Linked DNA regions of Alligator mississippiensis. The protein of the gene in region 2 interacts with the protein of the main gene of each other region in a biochemical or structural test. Links are inferred from orthologs where the notes say so. Each region holds a gene or a part of one and is shown on either strand. Other genes may lie near its edges.

Evidence for each region.
Region 1: the proteins of GJD2 (region 2) and LNX2 form a complex in vitro, tested with the Homo sapiens proteins (2 studies listed by BioGRID and IntAct, with this or other methods). The link is inferred for Alligator mississippiensis from reciprocal best matches to the Homo sapiens genes GJD2 and LNX2.

Annotation. Positions count from the first base shown.
Region 1 is NC_081824.1:428,179,496-428,183,242, reverse strand, and holds the start of LNX2 (ligand of Numb protein X 2), read right to left. Parts: upstream 2,445-3,747; 5' UTR 2,340-2,444; intron 1-2,339. Other genes in the region: protein POLR1D, read left to right, coding at 2,653-2,678.
Region 2 is NC_081825.1:248,065,830-248,069,576, reverse strand, and holds the start of GJD2 (gap junction delta-2 protein), read right to left. Parts: upstream 2,237-3,747; 5' UTR 1,702-2,236; coding exon 1,631-1,701; intron 1,292-1,630; coding exon 448-1,291; 3' UTR 1-447. UniProt on the Homo sapiens protein: One gap junction consists of a cluster of closely packed pairs of transmembrane channels, the connexons, through which materials of low MW diffuse from one cell to a neighboring cell.

The DNA.
Region 1 (3,747 bases), on a different chromosome or scaffold from region 2:
AAACCTTCACTGACATCAACCGGACTTCTCTGAGCAGACCCCTGCACCTGTGAGAACAGTCAGCAGTATCAGAGTCCGTGTTTTTGAAAAATGAAAATTAAGATGTTCATATTTAAATAACATAATGCATCTTTCCGCAACAAACACCAGTATGTGGTGCCTAATCCTCTTGCAAAATTGTTACCGTTTCACTGAAAAACACATTGATTCATTTTAAATGGACATTAGGCTTGTAAATTATTGACAGGACATGTGAAAGTATTCTATTGACTTCTCTAGCTGGGGCTGAATTCAAGGGTCAAGGTTTGGCCTGCTTGAGTTGATGCAACTAAAGCCTAAAAAAGGATGAACTGTTCAGCAAGTTAGGAAGGTATTACTAGATGCATTGATTTTAAATAATTTATTTGTAATTACTAATTATATCAGTGGGCTGTAGTAATTTTAAAAAGGCAAATAGGTTATTTTTATAAATCATTCCAGTTCACCATGCAATGTTTTCTTATCTAACAGTTCTGTGCTAACCAGCTGACTTCCTCCATAATTGCTTGTAAGCCTATTCCAATCCTTCTTTTCCTGAAATACTTCATCAGCTAATACAGCACCAAGTAGAGGGAGACAGGACTCCCACTACTACTCCTCAGAAAAGTTATGGTAGTAGTGCTTTATTAAGCCACACTAATGTTCCTGAAAGGAGATGTATACACCTTGGCTCCATTTTGAGGAAATTTGTTTTAACAAAGCACAGCAACATATGGCACCAGCATCTTTATTTTGAAAGTGGGTAGGGATGCTAACTCAAACCATCTGATGTTTCTTCCTAAGCCTCCTTATCTGCTGTCAGATTACATGCTTAGGGTAAAACATCAGCAAGCCAAAAAGAAGTGGGAAGAGGCATAAGCATCAATCAATCAACTTATTTAATGAGATGAAGAGTCTAGCTCAGAATAATTTCCCTTTTTAACAGAAGGCCAAACACACACATTTATTTTCAGACACTATCATCAACCATATCCTGGGGTTAATCCGTAACAGACATTTTTACTTTGTAGAAAGACAAAAATAAACCCACATTGTAATGTAATTAAAAAAGGAATTAAACAAGGCTCAGAACTGCTTAATAGTGGATTTCTACTGAAGTAAACAATCCAATGGTATATACATTAGCAACACAGTAAAAAAAGTCACAGAGGACTGTCATATTTGCCATGGGCACATCCAAAATTACCAGTTCGCTACACTGCTGATTACTAACTTTTCATCAAGAGCAAGAATGACTCTGAAGTATCCCTTATTACAGATTTTTCACAGATAGAAACTAATGAATAAAAAATAGGGCCTTTGTTAGAGAAGAGAGAGTGAAATTTACTCTTCTGAAATAACTGTCTATTATAGATGCTTCGAGGTGTACATTTAGCTATGATTTGCTATGGTAGGGTTGTGAAACACATAACCTGAACCCAACTCCTATAACAGGGGCTTGCTTGCAGCTGTTCTTTCTTCCTCCCACACACACAGTAATTCAACTCCTCCTCAGCCCTTAGAACTCTTTCATAAAATTACATCCGAGCGGCATACACGTATTTCAGTAACAGGCTGAATAAATACATCCGCAGTCAATCCCTCGTACACAAGCCGAAACACAAATATCAGTTTTGTTGCATATGCAATTTAGGTTTCAGTGCAGCCTTCAGCATATAATGACAGCTCAGGTTTGGGAAAAGAATAGCTGTAGCTCTTCCAGCCTGCAGCTGCAGCCAGCAAATACCCACTCCCCTCCCTCTGAGCAAGTGCAGGACCAGAACCACCATGAAGAAACCTCATTTCTGTGCTGGAAAGGAGGAATGGCAATAGGCTAGGAAAAAAAGGATGAACCCTTTTTTCTCCTCACACCTCTGCAACCATGATGCTGACTGCGCCTGGAGCAATGGTCAGGGATGCAAAATAAAGGGGGGGGACTTTTTTTTTTTTTTTTTATTCCCGGCACAATATTAAATGTCAGACTGGCAAACAACAGGGAGGCAGTCCTGTTTATTCAGGGCTTCTCCCCCTGACCGGAGCCCAGCGTGGGAAGGGTTCCGGCTCGGGGAGCACATGCGGAGGTGCCTAGAGGGGACTCGCCCTCCCCCCGCCGGCGGCAGCCGCCTGCCCCTGCCCGCACCGCGGTCTCCAGAGCAAACTTGGCTGCGCCCGAGCCCGCCCCATGCTCCTGCCCGCCCCACACTTGTTGCAGCGCCCGCGGTCCTCCGGCAGCTCCGGCCTCCCCGCGCGGGCCAGGGCGATGCCCTTGCTGGGGGCCGGGCGGGAGAAGACGCCCTAAGCCGAGCCGGGAAGTTACTCACCGCCACGGATGGCTCGTCCGCCCCGGGCCCGGGGGCAGCTGTCCCGCACTGCGCGGCCGCCCCGGCCCCGGCCCCGGCCCCAGGGCGTGGGGGGGAGGAGCCGCCGCCGCCGAGCCCCGGCCACCAGCGAACCCCGGGCAGGAGCCGACGGGCCGGGGGCGGCACCGGGGGGCGGGGACAGCCGGGCCCCGCCCCCATCGGCGCACGTGGCAGCGTCGCCCCGCCCGCGGAAGGGGGCGTGGCCCGGCGGCACCCCGCCCCTTCCCCGGCCGGCCTCGCGGTGCTGCAACCGTCCGCGGGGGGAAGGGCCGCCATGGACGAGGACCCGGAGCTGGAGCGGTGAGAGGCGGCGTTGGGGGCGGGCGGGCGCGGGCCTTGCTCCTGCTGGCGCGGGGCCCCGTCCTCTTCCCCTTCCCCTTCCCCGTGTGGCCCGCCGCGGACGCGGGGGCCTGCCGCAGCTCGGGGCCGGCGGCTCCGCGGCCTGTGCCGCCGGGCGAGTGAGGCCTTCTCCTGTCTGTTTGTGTCTTCCGCAGACCAGCGAGGCCTGCTGCGCGCGGGCGCGGCTGGGCGTGGAGGGCACGAGGGGAGGTGGAGGTTCCCTCAGGGGAGTGCGGAGCGGCCTGGCCGGCACAGGCTCGCGGGCCGCGTCTGCCCGAGGTTGCTCCTGTCGCCCTTGCAGCCTCCGGGCCGGGCCCCGCGCTCCCTGGTCCTGGTGCCCTTTGCTTTCCTCCCACAATTTGTCCAGGCCCTTTGTGAATGTGGCTGAACTGTCGGCTTCCCCCGCGTGTGAGGGCAGCAGGTTCCCACTTGCATGACTTGCTGTGTGAAAAGAAACTTGGTTTAATTGGTTTTGAACTCGCAACCTGCTAGCTTCATTCTGTGACTGTCTAGTTCCTGTCTCGGGAGAGTCGATGATCTGTCCCTGGTACTGTCTGTTCACCATTTACTGGTCTGTAAATCCTTCTCGTGCCCCCTGCTGCAACCAGCTCTTTTCTAAATTGAATAGGCCTAGGCTCTGTAGTCTCCCCCCTTGGGAGAGCCCCTCCATACGCTAACCATCCTTATTGCTCTTCTCTGGGCCATCTCTAGTTCTTCTGCCTCCGTTTTGAGGTGTGAAAACCAGAACTGGGCACTGCATTCAAGGTGTAGATGCACCACGGATTTATAAAGCGGCATAAGGACACTTTCTGTTTTGTTTACAATTCCCTTCTTAATAATCCCTCGCATTTTGTCTGCCTTCTTGATGGCACCAAGCTGATGTTTTTATCCAGCTGTCCACAATGAAAGGAAATGTTCTGCCCTGTCATCATGGTCTTTGCAGTAGAAAAATGGCTCTGTTATTTTTTGTAGTCAAAGAATGCGAACATAAGCGTTGGCATTTTCTGAGAGATTCTTTGCGTCTAAAAAG
Region 2 (3,747 bases):
GGTGGCTAGCAGTGCAATTACCCTCCTTTTAGAGCATGCTTACATTTGCATATCGCAACAATCCCCTCCCTCCCCAGTAAAGAGCATCCTTGCAATTTTTTTTTTAAATATGAACATTCTACACTTGTTTACAACAATTAGTCAGACAGTCCAGACTGTAATCTCACCCTAACGATAACCAAAACAAGCCACTCCAGTCAAAAGATAACATTGGATCATTAGCAATAAAGTAACTGTGCTGTAAGGCTAGATCAAGCATAGTTTTATAGCTGTTTTTTCAGTCTCTGATGTCGTACTGCATTGTTGTATCTAGTTCAATAAGTGCAGATCTGATACCTTAATGGCTTTCTTGGTGGTTTGATAAAATGCTTGCCTAAGCAATGTACCTTTCCCTAATGTTGTCTGGGTCTGTTCCACCTGGCACAGTGTTTCAGTTCTGTCACAGGCTCACACATAAGCTGAGTCGCTTGACTGAGTCCTGCCAAAGTTAGGCATGCTCATTCTTGGCAGGTCTTTGTTTCGGATTTCATATATGGATTTCCTTTTGGCTTGTACTCCTCTCACCGCCATTTTGATCTTTCTCCAGCCCAGGTGGTTCAGTTCGGCCAGGTTGAGCACCACACAAATCCCACTCACCGCAAACATGAATACCAAGAAGACAGTCTTCTCAGTAGGTCTGGAGACATAGCACTCAACTTCCTTGATGCAAGGGTATCTGTCGCATTCGTACATGGAAGGGACGTTGAAGCCATACAGGAAGTACTGCCCCACTAAGAATCCAATCTCGAGCGCATTGCGAAAGACCACCTGGATGATGTAAAACCGGGAGATGCCTTCTTGCCTCCTCATCTTGGACTTGGTGGTTCTGATGGCCGGGTTGGGGATTTCCTTCACTTCCAGGCAGTCAGGCTCAGCTTCTTTGGTGGAGTTCTCCGTATTCTGTAGCACTCCGTTGACAATGGTGTTCTTGATCTTCTTGCTGTCGTCTCGTTTCATGGAGTCCTGGTCCCTGTCCAAGGTGAGGAAGACGGTGGAGTACCTCCTCTCCCGCTGCTTGGCGGACTGGTGGACAGAGTAGGTGATGAAGCAGAGGCTGGGGGTGCAAACCATGATGATCTGGAACACCCAGTACCTGATGTGAGAAATAGGGAACGCCTGGTCGTAACAAGCCTGGTTGCAGCCCGGCTGCAGCGTGTTACACACGAACATCGTCTGCTCGTCGTCGTAAACCGTTTCCCCCACAATGGCCACAATGAGGATCCTGAAGATCACCACCACGGTCAGCAGGATCCTGCAACACAGACGCGCGTCAGTGCCCGGGGCCCGCGGGAGCGGCCGGGGCAGGGCAGGGCAGGGCCGGGCCGGGCCGCCGGGAGCTGTCCAGTGCTGATCGCGCCGCCGCTCGCCCCGGGCTCCGGCCGGCTCCCGCTCCCCCGCCGCGTGCCCGGAGCCAGCCTCCGGCGCCACCAGAAACTTTTTGGCCGGGAGGCATTGCGGAGGGGGCGGACTTGAGAGGAGTTTGCCGCAATTTCCCCTGCAATCTGCACCCCCTCCCGCCCCGCCGCGGTGCGCCCCCAGAGCCGCCGCCTGGGCCCGAGGCAGCGGGGCCGGGCCGGCGTCCTGCCCTTACCTCCCGATCATCGTGGAGTGCTGCTGCACGGCCGCTTCCAGCAGGCGCTCTAGGATGGTCCATTCCCCCATCGCTGTGCATCCGGAGCCAGGAGCCTGCGGAAGGAAGCGGCGGGGCTCTCCTCCCTCCTGCTGCCCGGGGTCCCCCGGGGGCTGAGGCCAGCGATGCCGTGGGCGGGCGGGGGGGGTTCCGCAGCGCCCTGCCTCGCCTCGCCTCGCCTCGCCTCTCCTCGCCTCCCTGTGCGCCGCCCCGCAGCGCCGGGGCCGGGGCCGGGGCCGGGGCCGGGGCCGGGCCGGCCGGGCCGGGCCGGGCCGGGCCGGGCGGGAGCGCGGGGTGCGGGCGGGCAGGCGGGCTGCGGGGGTGCGCTTGGAGCCCGCCTTGGCGGGGAGGCAGGTTGGGCTTTAATGTCTTGCTGCCGCTAATCCGCCCTTAAGTAGGCTCCGCTTGCGTCACAGGCAGGTCGGGGGAGCGCGGCCAAGAGCGGCGCGGGGATTTTCTCCATGTTATTTATTCCGGGGGAAAGAAAGAGGCGGCCCCGCGGGGGCAGGGAGTCCTGCGCGGCCGGGGGCCCCGGATCCGCCGGCGCTGCCCCGCGCCCGGGGCCGCCCCCGCCCAGGCCTGCGGGCATGGCCGCGCCCGGGGCACCCGCGCCGGCACTGGGGGCCGGGCCAAGGGGACCTATGGGCTCTGGAAACTCCGCCTCGCAAGTCCCTCGCCTCAAGTGCCGGAGGCTGCGCGGGAGTGGGGGCTGACCCCGTCCCTGCTCCTGTGCGACACTCCCTGCCCCTACGCCTGACCCCGCCAGTGGCACTTCTCCTGTTCTTATGGTTTTATCACTTGTAGTCATTTTCCTCTGGTTTTTCAGGTCCGCCCCTGACACCAGCTCATGGTTGGGCCTCCAGCACCTTGGCACCAGGCAGAAACGTGCTACAGCCAGCCTGGGATGTGACACCAAAGGTCTCGGAAACCCAGCACTCAGGCGAGAGCGGCTTTACAGCTCTTTCTTCTTCTTCCGTCTTCACCTTGGAAGATCCTGGGACGCGTGTGTACATCTTAGTTGTCACTGATTTTACATTGGCAAGAATCACACCCAGTGCACTCTGCTGTTCAGCATCTGCTCCCTGTCACTGTGAGACACAGGAGACTGGGCCAGGTGGGCCTGTGGTCTGACCCGGTAAACGCCTGGGTTCTACTGCGGCCTCATTTCAAAGCAGTGTCTTCTGTTCCAATTAAAATACATAGACTACTTCTAATATTTTCCTAGAATAAAAGAAAGAGAATGAGAGAGAAAAAGTGTGTATTTATTTGAATGCTGTCACCAGCTGTTTACACAAATCACAGAAAGGTTGTGTTTCCTTGGTTGAATGCCTAGACTAGAAGGAATCCATACATTTTGTTATCATAAAATACTTCAACTATTTTTAATATGTTCCCCTTCAGTGTCATAGATGATTGGAAAATGAGAGCAATGCTATAGGAGGATGTCGTGTAAAGATTACCTTGACATGAGTTTGGGTTGACTACAGAAGTCTCAAGTGGTGAAGCTAACAGTGAGTTATTTTTTTTCCCAGTCAAATACCAATCAGACCTTTATACCATACCACTCAGTCATAATTTTTGCACATCCCATAAATCATTCTCAGGAAGCTATTGAATAAATATTTCAGGCTGTTTGCGGGTACTGTTGTTTACACTGCTGGACTAGCAAGAGCAAGCTGCTTTAGTCAGACAGCTGGTCAGACTACTGTAAATAATTGAGTCCTTTGTTCTTTTTCTGAGTCTTTCCTGAACCAGTTCTAGTTTTTGTAAATGACATTAAGTATTTGCTAAATATTTGAGATAAAGTCTCTTCAGTGTAAAGGCCATTTGTTACTCAAACAATTCAAGATTTGCTGCCTGTTATTTGTAGTGAGTGACAATGTTATGTGACCTACATAATCAGTCTACTTTCTGATTATATATGATTATATTCAGTTTGTTAATTATCAGTTATGAACTGAGGAATATACTTGTTTGTGCAATAATGGGTCAATTTCCCCTACCTGTAAACCAGGTATCCAAATTACCTGAGGCATTGAACAATCTGATAGGTTTTTTTCTTTGCTTTTTGCAATTAT